Linked DNA regions of Mus musculus: all the other regions are reported to be linked to region 1. The links are microRNA targets in miRTarBase. Many come from high-throughput screens and were not tested one by one. Region 1 holds a microRNA gene; each other region holds the end of a gene's coding sequence.

Evidence for each region. The annotated mature microRNA mmu-miR-466i-5p reads UGUGUGUGUGUGUGUGUGUG and lies in region 1 at 2,840-2,859, shown strand. An mRNA with a match to its seed (bases 2 to 7 or 8) in the 3' UTR can be bound and repressed. Matches are read on the target gene's strand: a 7mer-m8 pairs with bases 2 to 8, a 7mer-A1 pairs with bases 2 to 7 and ends in A, and an 8mer does both.
Region 2: miRTarBase lists Nab1 as a target of mmu-miR-466i-5p. Seed matches in the 3' UTR shown: 8mer at 1,698-1,705, 8mer at 1,696-1,703, 8mer at 1,694-1,701, 8mer at 1,692-1,699, 8mer at 1,690-1,697, 8mer at 1,688-1,695 and 17 more.
Region 3: miRTarBase lists Acot2 as a target of mmu-miR-466i-5p. Seed matches in the 3' UTR shown: 7mer-A1 at 2,743-2,749, 8mer at 2,741-2,748, 8mer at 2,701-2,708, 8mer at 2,699-2,706, 8mer at 2,697-2,704, 8mer at 2,695-2,702 and 17 more.
Region 4: the mRNA of Rhou is a reported target of mmu-miR-466i-5p. Seed matches in the 3' UTR shown: 7mer-A1 at 2,381-2,387, 8mer at 2,379-2,386, 8mer at 2,377-2,384, 7mer-m8 at 2,376-2,382, 7mer-A1 at 2,336-2,342, 8mer at 2,334-2,341 and 17 more.

What each region holds. Positions count from the first base shown.
Region 1 is chr3:85,464,543-85,468,693 of GRCm38, forward strand. It overlaps Mir466k (microRNA 466k), which reads left to right and starts at 2,835; the gene lies at 2,835-2,956. All of the region lies in intron 1 of Gm31419 (a long non-coding RNA gene), which reads right to left.
Region 2 is chr1:52,455,973-52,459,972 of GRCm38, forward strand. Nab1 (Ngfi-A binding protein 1) reads right to left here. Exons shown (of 8, transcript NM_008667.3): 8 at 1-3,334. The coding sequence ends at 3,246. Among named protein-coding and RNA genes, the nearest start is that of Gm23460, 13 kb to the left of the region's middle.
Region 3 is chr12:83,992,393-83,996,392 of GRCm38, reverse strand. Acot2 (acyl-CoA thioesterase 2) reads right to left here. Exons shown (of 3, transcript NM_134188.3): 3 at 2,516-3,891. The coding sequence ends at 3,313. Among named protein-coding and RNA genes, the nearest start is that of Acot2, 6.5 kb to the right of the region's middle.
Region 4 is chr8:123,660,566-123,664,565 of GRCm38, reverse strand. It overlaps Rhou (ras homolog family member U), which reads right to left. Exons shown (of 3, transcript NM_133955.4): 3 at 686-3,705. The coding sequence ends at 3,250. Among named protein-coding and RNA genes, the nearest start is that of Rhou, 8.6 kb to the right of the region's middle.

The DNA of each region.
Region 1 (4,151 bases):
GAGGCCTCAAAGATTCCTCCTCATAGTCCTCGGGAGACAGCAGCCCTGCCAACACTTGTGCTGTTACTTTGAGCCTTCAAGATTATGAGTAAATACCTAATGTTTAAGCCGTGTGATCTGTGATGCTCTGTCACAGCATGCTAGTAACATGAAATCGCCACTCATTATTTAAAGGGGTCATAGGTGTTGCTGTGAATCAGTGTGATCTGATTCCCCTTTTCAAGTGTGACTCTGGTTGACCCAGACTACAGTCCATGTAACACCCCGCACCCCCCACCCCCCGGGACAGTGGTTTTAATTTCTCATCTTGAGCATCAGGTCTTCCCTGCAGCCATGGAAAGATGAAGGACAGAGGGACAGGAGACTAATGGTAGAGTAGGGATACAGAAGGTAGGTTGTTCTTCCTCCCATTCCCATGCTCCCAGAAATAAGACACAGACTCAAAATATGTTTACAATACCTTGGCCATACAGCTAGGCTCTTCTCTAACTAGGTCAGAACTTAAAATAACCCACCTATGCTCAACTACATTTTGCCACATAGCTGGTTACCTGTGCTCAGGTACCAGGTATCTGTCTTGTCACATCTTCCCCAGTGTATCTCCCACCTGGCACTATCCCAGAATCCTTTCTACCTCACAGATGTCCTACCTCCTATTTCCTGCCAAGTTATAGGTCATCAAATTTATTACTGACAGTTGCCACATGCATACAGACATAAGATATTTTCTCCCCATAGAGATTAATTAGAAGTCAGGATCAGGATTATATTACTCTCCTAGGGTTCCTCCTTCCTCAAGATTTAGTTTCTATATGTGCACAGTTTAAGCAGGCACAGTCAACTGACTATGAAAGCAGAGACAACAGGAGAGAAGACGAGTCCAGGGCTGGAGACTGGATACCACTGACTTCTGCTTCTACACGTGGAGCAGATATATACAGTATCCTTGAGGCAGAAGGAGACAGACACTCTCATCCAGGGATATAGCTGACAGAGAAGAGACATCCACCCCCATACACACATCTCATCCCATCGTCTCTAACATCTGCATACTTGCACTTCACAGCTCACAAGTCTAACCTTCCCAGGTAACTGGCCCATTTGGGTCTGGTGTACCTTCAATCTCTCTTTTTTTATTTTCTTAAAAGAAACATTTGAGAGCTGAGCATCTAAGATGGCTTTGGATTCACACCCACTGTCTGTGGAACAGCTTGAGGCTGACAAGATTAGCTCGCTGGAACGCTCTGGGATCCGTTCAGCCTAAGCTGCTGCCCACACACCAGCCTTGCTCACAGAAGCTGCTTTCCGCAAGCAGCAGCCCGCTTCACCTCCTCCATCCTGGCTCGTGGAACTGGTCCTTGATGTCCTACCTGGTCTTGAGGACAGTGGCTTCCAGCCTCAACCAGTCCTCATTCCCAGATTCCAGGATGTGACCATGGTGATGTCTCAGCCTCTCCAGAGGAGTCCGAAGGGTGATACTTCTGTCCTTCCTCCTCCCATGTCTAATCACCTGATTTTACAGAACCCAGCATAGCGAGCAGTGCTGCAAGCTTCCTTCCCCTCCCTCGGCTCTCTTCTTCTGTCCCTTCTTTCTGTAATATCCAAGGGGACCAGACAGAGTGGGCCTTGATAACACACATTCCCTTGGCTCCAGAGCAGTAGCTTCTAAAACCTGTAAATAAGACAGCTCTATGCCCCTGTGTAGACATACACCCCAAGGATAGGCTGGCTCCCTGGTACCTGTCCAGAGTTGAGAGTTCAAAAGACAGACCAGTGGATAGAAATGCTATCATGCCCACCCACCCCCACCCCGCCAAGCAAGGCCTGCTGGCTCATGTACCTGGCCAGACATTACATGAGCAACGGGCAGTAATTGTTGTCTAATCTCTTCCCAGAGGTTTCAACTAGTTCCAAACTGTTGTGGCTAATAAAAACAGAGAAGATTTGCAAGAAATTCCAGGTGCATCGGAACACTTTGGGGGATTGTGCAGCCTGCAGGCAGACGAAACTTAACTCAAATAAACATAAGGTAATATGTGTTGGCAAAAGTAACCTGAAGTGGGAGTATACAACTGTACGTTTCAAATTGGCTGCTGCCTGTAAGGATGGAGATTGGTAGTAGCTCAGAATGGATGAAGTGGGCAGAGTAGCCAATGTGCATCCCAGAATAACCGAGGCAAATCAGATCTCATCTCACACAGACCCCATCAGTGGCCCAAGATGGAGCACATGACAGATTCCGCAGTCCCACTTTCTACTTTAAGGATGAGGAGACATCGTGGAGTGGCCTCCAGATTTAGGGGTCTCCTGTGAGCCAGGAATGTGTGGTCATGTTCTCAATGGAGCGAGTAAAAGAAAGTGTCTGTTTTTGTTCATTGAAGTCATTGACTCCAAGCCCTGGAAGCTGCCATGTTACCTCCATCTGCTGCCTAACTCTCAGGGCCACATTTAGATAAAGAGCCGAACTTCTGAACTGCAACAGCCCTGGACTTCAGTCAATTCCCTACTTTCTTACAGAAAAGAAAATATTGAAAAGCTGTATTATGGTGTCTTATATGAATGTGCTAGTTTCCAGGATGGGAGGGGCTGTATATTCACCTATATTCACACACATATACATGTGTGCATGTGATATACATTCATGTACACCCTCCTATAGAAATAAGTGTATGTGTGTGTGTGCATGCATATGTGTATATGTGTATGTATGTGTGTGCATATACACATGGGTGTGCATGTGCATGAGTGCATGTACGTGTATATGCATGTTCTCTATTGATATGTGTGTGTGTGTGTGTGTGTGTGTGTGTGTGTGTGCAGGTGTGTATATACATATATATGTGTGTGTGTGTGTGTGTGTGTACATGTACATGTGAGTATGTGTGTGTATATGTTTGTACATGTGCATGTGTGTGAGTATGTGAATATATGTGTATATGTGTGCATGTGCATGTGTGTGTATGGTGAGTAGGTGTTACTAATTGTGACTCCGATGGCTGTGTCTCCATCTGGCCTAGGTGACAGGTAAGCAACTGCACTGATCTTTCACAGGTAGCAGCAGCCTTATAGGGCAGGAGAAGACTGGCACCTCTGCACTGGCCGTGACCTTACCTGCAAGCCCCCGAGGAACAGGAGCTTTTTTACTCCTCCATCTTCTGGCTTCCCAAGCAGGTGCTGATATCTTGACAGGGAAGGGGAAATGCTCTGTCCTGGCCCTCTTGCCTCACAGAACTAAAAGCTAAACATGGCTTCAACTACCTCAGCGGCTTTCTTCTCCCACAACCACATGCAGTAGAGAGGCCCAGCGCTGCAGAATACATCTGTGATAGGAGAGGAGAGCTTGGATCTGGAATGTTCTAGAAAGTGATGGAATAATTTGAAATCCAAACTGTCTAAAGGCTGAAGAAGAAAGGAAGCCATTGCCACCTGCAGGAAGCAGCCAGGTCCTTTTGACCTCTCAAAGTTCTTGGCTGTGAGGTTCCATCATTCAGCTGATAAAACAGAGGAACAAATGTTACACAGGGAAGTTCACAGGAAAAGGGTCAGTACAGAGTGTGCAGAGCTTCTGGTGGTATAAAAGCCAGTCACTGAAAACTAGGGACATGTCCTCAGTCCTTGAGACCTGAAGTCATCTCTTCTCTTCTAAGCATCCATTATACCCAGGATTCCACAGCCCTAGGCCTTCTGGAAACAAACTTCATTTCCCCAAAAATTGTCTGCTACCCTAATGCCACCGGAACAAGTTTTTTAGCTCTTGGGTTATAGCTCAATGATGAAACACTTGCCCAGCATATACAAGACCCCAGATTCCACCTCCAACAACAACACAAAGCACGCCAGTACATCTCAGCCTGTGCAGAGGCTCAAATTTCGAAGGAAATAGGAAATAGATTCATTCATTCATTTAGTGACTCTTTCTCTTCTGCTGTGTATGAGACGCTGTGTTAGGCAACACCAGAAATAAGGTAAAGATTTAGCAGGTGACCACAAACGAGAAAGTGCAGTGCGTTCTCCACTTTAATCAGAGCAAGCCAGCAAATAAAATGTTCTAGGCAGTTTGTCTTGGCACCAGCCACAGGAATTTACCTGTGACATCCTAATAAAGAGGACACTGAGACATGACATCCACAAGGACTTGATTGGCTCTCCTG
Region 2 (4,000 bases), not on the chromosome of region 1:
AGTGGGCATCATCACACTGGCCCAATTAACTACTTTAAAAATAGAAAATCAATGAAATATTTTAAAAATAAAAAGAGAAAGCTAATGGTAAGTAGCATGTCATGTGAATGCTAAAAAATCGAGTTTAGTGCTTGGTGAGTTATTTTTAAATGCTTCTGTTCTAGACATCATATTAAATCACTACAACAATATTAAACTTTTCCTTTGGTTGAGGGTGAACTGGCAGAAATGAGCCCTTTTATGTCTTACAAGTGAGATCTGGACATAAATGGAGCAGTCAAAAGAACAGTCTTAGAAATTATGACCAAAGAATCAGGCACTGCCAAGAGACCAGAATTCAAAAGAATACTGTAGTGCTCAAGAATCGTGTGGCCTAGCAGCTATGAAAATATGAAAGAAGGAAGGAGTTCTAATGAATTTATAACAAAACCAGCTATTATTTATCATTCTTTCTAAAGCTATGGTAAAAAAAATAGACAGAAAAATATGTGTAAGTAGAACATAAGACTAATTTAAAAGAATTATGAACTTAAATTATGATTTCATATTTTCTGCACAAGAACAAGTGATTGTTTTCTTCATTTCCGTAAGTCAGCCAAAGCAGAATCCAGGGGTGACCTGGACGATTTAGCCACCACACATTCAGAATTGAAAGCATTATCACAGTGTCGGCTTCTGATCTCTTAGGTGTCGGGAATGTTTGTCTTGCACGGTTGCTATGGAAACAGTTGTCATCAATGTGTGTTTTCAATAACAGTGGACACTGAGTCATCCTTTGTTAACTTGAAGGCCACTGGAGAATGTCATTCATGAGAACGCCCAGAGATAACAGCAAATACACGTTCTTGGATCCCCAGAACCAACCCTTGCACAGCGCTGGGTCAGAAGAGGGCTTTCATCAAATATTTGCTGTTGTAATCTCTTGAATCTACCAGGGCTCCTGCTCTCATTGGGTTGACAACCTGGTTGGTTTTCTTTTGAAGATTCAGAGCAGCATCAATGTCACAAACAACATGGTGCTGAGTCAGAAGTACTCTGCCCTTTCAAAAGTGAAATGTATGAAGCCCAGGCTAGGAAAGGTCTCCCCAGGTGACCACCACCTGTGTGGTCTACAGAGTGAGTTCAAGGCCAGCTGCGGCAAGTTAGGAAGCCTGTCTCAGAATAAAAAAGTAACATGAGTGCTGGGCCTATCAGTGGTAGAGCCTCTGGGTTCAACTCTCAGTGTCACAGGAAAAAAGAGAAGCGCATCCTGTCCCGACATGCGGTAAGGGAGGCAGTATAGACGAACATCATGTGCTATGCAAAGCACTCTAAGCAAGGATTTGTGAGGCAGAGAAATCCTTTATTGCCACGGGAAGCAAGTTCACTCATCTCTTCAACAGTTTTAGGAATCACAAAAATGCAGAATTCACACAATAAAGAATAACACAGACTTAGGGAGAAATGGTCCCTTGGGTTATATTGGCTGTAATACTGAGGTAACCAATTGACCTTGTTCAGTGGAAGTATCTTAAATGAAATGAAGAACACCCCACTAGTTATAACATCTAATTTATATATACCATTCAAATAAAAATATATATTATTTGCTTTAATGTATAGCAAGTTTAATACATTAGTGTTCACAAGATAAAAATTGTATTCTACTGAAAATTTGTGTGTGTGTGTGTGTGTGTGTGTGTGTGTGTGTGTGTGTGTGTGTGTGCTTCTTCTCTATCTCTAAGCTTGGAAGTCAGAAAAGTATGCTACTTAAGGAGACTTTCTTCTGGATTTAAAAATGCAGGTTCTAGGTCCAGGAGAGACAGATATATATCAGCTGGAAGACTACTGCATCTTTTATAACTTGCAATGTTAAAATCTACGAACTTGAACTGTAAGACATAGTTTTTTTGTTTTTCGTTTTTGTTTTTTTTTTTTTTTAAAAGAAAAAGGACCACAAAATTTCTCAAAATAGATTAAGGAACACAGGAAACGGTTCATGAAAGTATAGGGATAATATCCAGTGCTGTGGCTAATATTAAAAACTGAACATTCTATTTAAATGGTATCACACTAGCTCTACACACAGTGGACAGTGAGACCACAATAATCAACCTCACGGTAGAAACAGAGGCACATGGTCCCTAAGATAGTTTTTAGTGGGCAAGGTGCTATGGTCCAATAGAATCATCTAGGAAGGGAAAAGCCTTGTAGTTGTAGTAAAGCTGTTTACTGGTGTTTCTACTGTAGAACTCTTCTACAGATCAAATTGAAAAGTGACTATCTATGTGACTGCTTAGAGCCTGTGGTGGTGCACACATCTCACCTAACATCTGGCCAACAGATTTCAGTATAACAGATTAGGAACTCATATCTATAACAGCATGATCTAAAGCAGAACTGAAAACAAGACACACATTCCATGTCCATTCACCCACATCATCCATCATCTTTATCACATTTAGGGCTATCTTACTATGCCTTAATTTGTTTAACATATTCTGAAATATCAATGTTTTTAAGTCAAGGCTTTTACACAATAACCCATTTATTTCATGTCCTCTGTCCAACCTTTGTTACATCTTAAGCAGCTGCCATAAATATAGCCTACCTCATTTTGGGAATGTTACTCCAATTTTTAATTTGTGCATTGATTAAACCAATGAAGGTGACATTATTTAGCGACAGCTACATATTTCCTATTAATCAAAATCAATGTTATCAAGTATTAAACACACAGTCTTCTCCTTGGTGTAAATTGTGTATTTATCTTCCATCTTTCTCCAGTCACCTTGCCAATAACTACATTGCCCAGACTTTCTTTCTATGATTGCAAAAGTTCTAATTGCTGACGAGTAACATTTATGGCAAATACACTTAAAGTAGACAACAAAATTTCAAGTAAAATGAATGGTATCCACATCTATTAGACCACAAGGTATCAACACCTAGACTTGTTTCTATAAATTACAAAGACATGTTGTACATTCTTAAATAGTGAATGCCTACAATATTGAGCCTTTCCACACAAGCAGCTTACACAGGAAGGTAAGTGGTCAGTGTCTGTTACATTGCAATGCTCTCTTGATTCCCTCTTCTGTGGTTGTTGTTTTGTCCTGATGTCCACAGACTACTGTGTGGGTTCTTATGCTTTGGCTATGGTCTGTGAGCTGAATGAGGCAACACTGGTTATTAAGGCTTAATCTATGATGGAGCATTATCCTTGAATCTGGTGCCATTTCCAGAGAACAGTAGGAGCATCTCAGCTATCTTGAGTCTTCAGGCTCTGTTTTAATAACTTTCTTTTCCAAGGTGAATGCAGAGTGAGGATAGTCTTTTAGAATCCCAAGGCTCTCTACATAAAACAAAACCAGAAAGAGTTTGGAATTTGAAATCAGTGGACTACAACATCAAGTTATTAAACCCCAAACTTCCTAGCAAACATTAACTATTCATAATTATGAAATTCCAGATGGAATTTTATTTAGTTGTTAAAAGCATGGGTTATCGCAACATGGTAGTGATGTATTTCCAGGACTCAGGGACGTTGAGGCAGGAGGTCTACTTCAAGTTCCAGGTCAACTTGGGCTATGGGCAGAGTACCCAGCCAGCCAGGGTCACACAGCAAGAACCCATTTCATGAAAAACAAACAAAAATAAAGACAGACAGACAAACAAAAACAAAAACAAACTCACAGTTTTATTTAGACCCCCAACTGCACCAACTGCTAGGTATAAACTAATTGGGGTAAGTTACATAGCTGAGCTTTGTGTCTTACCTATAAAATGAGGAGAGTATAGACATAGAATATAGTGAGTGGCAAGGGCAAGACATACATGAACCCATAGACCTTTCTAAATTTATTTTATTTTATGTGTACTGGAGTTTTGCCTGCATGAAAGTATTGGAACCCTGGAGGTAGAATAGCAGACAGTGGTGAGCTGCCATGTGGATCCTGGGAATTGAACCCAGGTACTCAGGAAGAGGAGTCAGCGCTCTTAATTACTGAGTCATCTCTCC
Region 3 (4,000 bases), not on the chromosome of region 1:
ATCATGGCAGGAGGCACGACCTCACACAGGCAGGGTGCTGGAGAAATAGCTGAGAGTTCTACACTTGGATCTGTAAGCAGCAGAAGAAGAGAGGAGACACTGGGCCTGGCTTGGGCTTTTGGAACTTCAAAGCTCACCCCCAGTGACATTATTCCTTTAATAAGACCACCTACTTCAAGAAGGCCACACCTCCTAATCCTTCTCAAGTAGTGCCACTCTGATGACTAAGCATTCAAATTTATGAGCCTATGGGGCCACTCTTATTCAAACCACCATAAGGGTATAATGGTAGATTCTATGCTTTGCTCGTACTGGGTTTGATCTCCAGCACCAGGTCTATAGAGATGACTCAGTGATTAAATACAGTGGCTGCTCTCCCAGAGGATCAGAGTTCAATTCCCAGCAACCACATTGCAGTTTATAATCATCTGTAAGTCAAGTTCCAGGGGAATCCAATGCCCTTTCTGCCCTTCACAGGTACCAGACATGCAGGTGGTGCACAGACATATGTGCAGGCAAAACACATAAAATAACAAAAATATTATCTCCAGCAACAACAACAAAAATCGATCTGTGCGATAGATACTGTGCTACAGAACCCAAGAATCTAGACTTCCACTGTACCCATAACCAGCCAGTCCTACTGTCCTCCCCTGCTAACCTTCCCAGCTTCTGCCACCTAATGTTTGAGTTTTGTCACTGTGACAGATGCTATGACCAAAAAGCACTTAGGGAGGAAAGGGTTTATTTGGCTAATGTGGAGAGCCGTGCCACGAGGTGCGTGCCGCCAGTAATCGCTGTGGAGAGCCGTGCCGAGAGCAATCACCATTATAAGATGGCGCTGGCCTCCGCTGTGCCTAACTAGTAAACAAGCCTTGTACGCAGGTGCGAGAGTGAACTCACTCCTAGTCACTCCTATTCTCGAGGTGTAATAGTGGGGTGATGGGCGAGCAACGAATCAGGAGCTGTCACGCCATATCAGGTGCTGAAATGTCACGCTGCAGGCTATAAAAACGGCGCCATTTTCCCGGTTTGGGGTCTTCCTGAAGAAGCAAGCAATAAAGCTTTTGCTGTGGAAGATTCCGGTTTGTTGCGTCTTTCTTGCCCGTCGAGTGGGACGCAAAAGGCTAACACTTCCAGGACACAGTCCAGCACTGAGCAGGCACTCAGGGCAGGACCCCGAAGCAGAAAGCCTGATGACTTTCAGGCTTATTAGAGGAATCTGCCTTGATCTCTGGCTCATGCTTACTGTGCTCTTAACTGAGCCACCTCTGCCCACCCCCCAGACCTGGGTCTTAGTTTCTGAAGGCTCTCATGCCATGCAACAGTTTGATTTTTGTTATTGTTGGTTTTTGTTTTGTTTTGTTTTTGTTTTTGTTTTTGATTTGGTTTGGTTTGGTTTGGTTTGGTTTGGTTTGGTTTGGTTTGGTTTGGTTTTTCGAGACAGGGTTTCTCTGTGTAGCCCTGGCTGTCCTGAAACTCACTTTGTAGACCAGGCTGGCCTCGAACTCAGAAATCCACCTGCCTCTGCCTCCCGAGTGCTGGGATTAAAGGTGTGCACCACCACGCCTGGCAACAGTTTGAATTTTTAAAAATGATTCATCTGTATACTGGGGGGCAGGCGTGTGCCATGGTGCCCGTGTGAAGGTCAGAGGACGAGTTGCTGGAATCAGTCCTCTCCTTCCACCAGGTGGGGTCCAGGGATTGAACTCATTTGTCAGGCTTGGTAGCCAGTCCCATTTCCCACTGAATCAGCTCATGCAACCCTTTTATTAAACATGGTTTAATTAAACATGGTTCAGAGGCTGCAGAGAAGGTTCAGCACTTACGAGCTCTCACAGAGGACCAGAGTTTGGTTCCTAGCACCCATATTAGGTAGCTCATAACCACCTGTAACTCCAACTCCAGGGGAACTGAAATCATGTGGCCTCTGTGGGCACCTGCACAGACACACACGGACACACATGTGATGAAAAATAATAACTCTGACTCGGGTTCTATAGCCGTCTCTTTACTGCCTGTCTTGTGTTATAGGGGATCAAGCATGAGCCTAGCAATGGGTAAAGAAATCCCTCCTCCTGTGCTGACCACTCTCTGACTGGCAGGTGGCTGTGGCCTAAATGTGCGGGAATGAGAGCGTTTGCTCACACACATCCTCTTCCCTGCCTCGAAGACAGGTCTGAAGGTTGGCACACATGGGATTCCTGGCTTCTGTTTCCTTCCCCAGCTGCTCTGCTGCCTCCTGGACTAAATGTTCATCCTCCCCTCATGTCACCATGACAGAGCTCAAAACACCAAGAGGTTCTCTTCCCAACATTGGTTTGCTTTGTAAAATTGATGTTCTTGTTGGATGTGTGCATAAAAAAAAAAAAAAAACCCAAACAAACAAAACCCCTTCTCTTCTTCGCTGCTGCTAGACGTGTGTTAAGTATCTGAACAGTCACCCAAAAGCCACTTCTGGAAGGATGACAAGAGTGGGAACACTGGCCCAAGAATTGAAGGAAGGACAACATAGTTTTGTCTATAATGAGCTAGTTTTTATTTTAATAAGAATATTTACACTTAAGGTTCCCCCTTAATTCATGACATAAAAGAATTCTGTTTTTTTTTTTTTTTTTTTTTTGGATAGGCACATTTTAAAATTACACATGTGGTGTGTGTGTGCGCGTGTGTGTGTGTGTGTGTGTGTGTGTGTGTGTGTGTGTGTGCGTGCGCGCGTACGCACACGCGCACAAGCACTTGTGTGTGTCAGAGGACAACTTGTCAGAGTTTGTTCTCTCCTTCTACCATGTAGACCCTGGGGGAAAAAAATCTTAAGTTGTCAGGCTTGGCAGAAAGCACCTTTACCACGGAGCCATCTCACCAGGTCCACAGGCACATTTTTATAAGAAAGTTTTAATTTCTTTGTCGTCTTACGGCACTGGGGAATGAATTCTGGGCACTATGGAAGAAAGACGAATGCATTACCACCAAGCTCTATATATCCTCAGTCCTTCATAGGCACTTATTATATTGAGAAAAAACATAAGCTGGGCGTGGCTTTACTCCCAGCACTTGGGAGGCAGAGGCAGGCCGATCTCTGAATTCAGGCCCAGCCTGGTCTCGGCCAAGGGTACACAGAGAAACCCTGTCTCAAAAAAAAAAAAAAAAAAAAAAAAGAAAAGAAAAAAAGAAAAAGAAAAAAGAAAAAAGAAAGAAACTTTAAAAAATTAGAATATGTTCAAATGAACTAACCTGAACTGACATTGTGATAATATATATGAGGTTTCCCCCAAACCATCAACTAATAGGTTATATTTTAGAGGACAGTCCCTAACTCTTGCTACCCAACTGTTTGTGGAAGAAAGTCTGGAGCTGCTGCCATGCGTCCACCTGGGCCACGGCATGAGCCCTGGGCTCCCCTCCAAAGGTGATGTTGGCACCCACCAGGAGGTGCATGCCAGCGCTGCACAGCGGGAAGTAAGGGGGCTCGATGTAATGCCCTGCTGCTGGGTAGCAGATGATCTGGGGCTTCTCCTTCCCGTGCGCCTGCAGGCGTTTGGAGATCTCATCAGCATAGAACTCGCTCTTCCAGTTGTGGTCGTCCTGACCTACGAGGAACAGGAAGGTCGTGTCAGACCTTTCCACGGGAATGAAGCTCTTCTTGTCTACCAGAGGGCTTTGCAGAGCTTCCACGACATCCAAGAGACCATCTTTGGTCATTTTGACTTGGTTTCTCAGAAGGGACACAGGGGGTATAGTCTCATCCTTGTAGGAGATGGTGTTCCCAACAGCAGCCACGGAGCCATTGATGACCACAGCAGCTGTGATGCCCTTCAGGAAGGAGGCCATAGCAAGGCCAAGTTCACCCCCTTTGGAAATCCCAAGCAGCCCAATTCCAGGTCCTTTTACCTGAGAAAGAAACAAATGAAAAATGGAGATTTAGTCCAGGAACAGTATTGAGCAGTGAGTAGACCTAGCCAGAAAGTCAAATAACCCTGGGCCAACATCAGCATTTTCT
Region 4 (4,000 bases), not on the chromosome of region 1:
GGCACCTAGGGCTTCAGGTGCATGGCTGCAGGGTGACAGGGTCTTGGCTCCTGTTTCTCTTCCTTGGTGGCTTATAGATAAATCCCCACCATTTGCATCCCCCAAGGACTCATCTGTAGAAAGAAAGGCCAAGTGGTCACACATGAAGCTCTCAGGCCCTCAGGTCTCCCTCAACACTGTACACCCCTGGAGTCTGCACTCTGTAACCTGGCCTTCCCAAAATATGCAGAGGGAAGCCGGGCGTGGTGGCAAATGCCTTTAATCCCAGCACTCGGGCAGCAGACGCAGTCAGATCTCTGTGAGTTTGAGGCCAGCCTGGTCTACAAAGCAAGTTCCAAGACAGCCAGGGAGGTTATACAGAGAAACCTATCTGGAAAACAAAACAAACAAACAAACAAACAAATGCAGAGGGTGCCAACCATCAGAACAAGACCAGAGCCCACAGCCGTACTGAGTGAGCGTGATACTAGGTACAGGAAGTACTGAGTGTGATACTAGGTACAGGAAGTACTGAGTGATCGTGATACTAGGTACAGGAAGTACTGAGTATGATACTAGGTACAGGAAGTACTGAGTGAGTGTGATACTAGGTACTTTCCCTGAATACAGGGAAGCTTCTGAACCTGTCCAGGCCAAGGCATATCTGAGCTTCTATCCTTTCAGTAGAATAAGCAAGAGCAGCTCGGTCCACAGGTCAGAATTTATTTCATAGTAACTCATTTGTAGTATGTTTCAAGTACAAGATCCTGTCCAACATCTTTGACACGGGAAAAGAGAAGAGCACAGGTCGATAAGGCACCTGCAGAGGAGCCAGCGAGCGAGGCTCCCCTTTTGGCTTGAGACTTCTGGGTAGCTGCTCACACGTCTGCCGAGCAGAAAACGGAGTTCTCGGAAGTTTGCTTGCACGCATGCTTGAGGTGACGATTTTGGAGCCTGCTACCGTGTGTTCTGCAGGTACTTCGTTCAGCCCACACTGAGTCAGGCTGAAGAGCCACCTCTCTACATAGCTCACAGGATCCTCCCCAGACACCAAGCTGAACATTCCAGCCACTTCTCAGCTTTGATGAGAACCCTGACTTGACGTCCCACCCAGGCACATGCGTTTAGAATTCTCAGCCCAAACCTCTATTTTCGAAAAGTAAAAAATGCAGGAAAACCTCCAGTACAGTCAGACATTATGACTTCATAGGATGCAGGGACATTGAAAACTTGCAGGGCAGCGTCAACCCACTAGATTTGTGACATAAATAGTCCAGTGGTACGCATCCCAGAAAAGTGTCCAGAACTTGATCACACAGCGTCCTTTATGTCACTTCCGGGTGGCTCAGAGACAGGGTGTGAGGTCCAACAACCCTGGCACCAGACTTCAAGTTTGTGTTCTCAATGCTCATTTCCTTGGTCTCAACTACATTGGCTTTATTATAACATTTAAAATTAAATAATTCACTCTTTCCCACCCACCCTCTGTACACAGGGCAGGCAAAGCCCCACTTGTACGCTGGCTTTCCAGACAGCCATGCACAATAGGATAAGCTGAGTCACTAGGTCAGTTACAGCATCTCCATAAGCAAAACAATGTTACCACTCAGGCCACAAGGAAACACCTCAGGAGACTATGGCTAATATCATTCACAAACAGTTCATATACTCTAGTGGTTCAGCAATTAGCCTTTTAATAATGATGTAAGAAAGTCTTCAGTCCCATTTACCAGCAGGAAGAAGCCTTTGACCTGAAATATGGCCTGTTCTTTTACTTGTTTTTTTTTTTCCTACAGAAAAACGTAAGATTGATTTTTTTTTTTAAATAGCAAGAAAAAATTTACAGACATAAAATTTTGTTACCAGGTGGCCAAAAAGAGGTTCCTTGCCCACAGCAAACTGATAGCTATGATTCACTGTCTGGTTCCTATGGCGTCTTGGAAATACCTACAACCCTGTGAAAGAGCTTGCCTGACACAGGGCTGTCTCAGAACAGTCGGTCATAAGACCCTCACCTTAAAGAACAAGTGCCACAAACATGACCTGCAGCGAGAAGCCACTGGTGGGTAAGGCCTTGCACATACCTGTCCCCTAAGACAGTGCCTCCCTAGTCAATGGACCCTGAAGGCACTGGGGTTCAAAGTATGTTCATCCCACATTTTATGACCTGAAAAAAATGTATAAATTAAGATCCTACAAAATGATGTCTGTTCAAAGAAATGTCAAGAAGAGGAAGGTGTGGTGCCCTGACACTTGCAGCCATGCTTGGGGAGGGGTGGGGGTGGGAGGGTGGTCTAAGGGTTCCATCAGCAAACCAGCCAGTGTGTGTGTGTGTGTGTGTGTGTGTGTGTGTGTGTGTGTGTACAGGCAGGCATTTTGGTGGACTTAAGGAAAAAGTGTGTGTGTGTCCCATAGCCATCAACTATGGCCTCTCAAGGTGGCCCAATTCCTTGCAAACGGGACGATATGAGCCCAGCACACTTAAAGCTCCCAGACAAGCACCTCCTCCTGCTTTTAACAGCAGGACACAGATGCCCTGCAGAAGCCAGTCCTGCAAGCTAAGAGCCCTCTCTGGTCTCACCATGAGTCGCTCCCTGAAGAAAATGTCACATGTGCACCCAGCACTCGCCTTCTACGAGGCATCTCCACCATTTTCATAGCAATATAACTGGTCACGTGATTTAAAAAAACAAAACAAAACCGTAACAAGCAAGTGCACTGTTCGCCAACACTATGCCAGTAGGCTGTGGGATGTTTGGTTGTTTTAAAATCCTAAGAGAATCTGAGTAAACAGAAGGGATGGGCTCGAGGTTTCGTAAGCAGAAGGCCCTTGCTGGTTTCAGATCTTTGCCCTTACAAAACCGGGGGTGGCTCGTGTGGTTTCAAAGCTCACGCTTGCTCACTCTCACCAAGCCTGGTGCACACGTGCCCTGCACTGAGCCCTCAGTAGCCCTTAATCAGGAGAAGGTCCCATTCATTCTCCTTTGTCCTGTACAACACAGCAGAACTTCATGCTGACACCCCGCTTTGAAGAGCCCTTTTCATATGGAATATAAATTAATCCGGAGGTCTACAGCTCAAAGCTTCCAGACTTAACAGAAAAAAAATGTAACTTTCAATTTTTAAAAAAACGTATTTTGCATATGAATCTCAGCCCTAAGCTCCCGCACACAGGAAGTTAAGGGCAGAAGAGGGTGCTTTGGGGCTCATCCTATGACAGCCTCGTCCATAAAGAGCTGTTGCAGCTTAAACACCTGCTATTTGCGAGAGTCAGGCCAGGCAGCAATACTTCCTCCACCAAGACTTGGACAGGTCCCGCACCTTATCCGGGGTCCTGCTTTTAGACTTCTTTGGCTGTAGCTGGGAGTCTGAGTGCTGGATACCAGCAACAATGGCGGCGTCGAAAACCTCTTTGAGGTTTTTCTGAGTCAACGCTGAGCACTCGATGTAGGAGACAGCTTTGACTTCCTCCGCGCACAGCTTCGCCGCCTCTTCAGGCACCGGCTTCTCTTTGCACTTGTCCAGTTCTATGAGCACTTTGACGTCCTCCCTGAGGTCCGACTGTGTCCCGACCAGGATGATGGGGGCCTTTGGGCAGTGACGTCGAATCTCTGGAACCCACTTCTCGCCCACGTTCTGGAAGGATGTGGGGCTCACCACGCTGAAGCACAGCAGGAAGATGTCTGTGTTGGTGTAGCAGAGGGGCCTCAGCTTGTCAAACTCATCCTGAAACCAAGCAAGATGCCATTACCCTTGTTAGCTCTTTCCACCTTAGGAAGCGACCTTTAGGGCCGGGATAGTCACAGAAAACCTATGTTTTTATAAAGAGGAGCCAGTGTCTCAGACCTGCCCTTGTGACACAGGTGCAGCCTCTATAAGCTCTGAGGGACCGCACAGGACCACACAGCCTTAACACTCCAAATGTGCTCTTGGTGACTATGGCTACCATGCCAGACGCTATGGAAGGCACTCAAGGCAGATGAGACCTTGCTTTTTCTGGCCTTCAGCCCATAGTGACTCT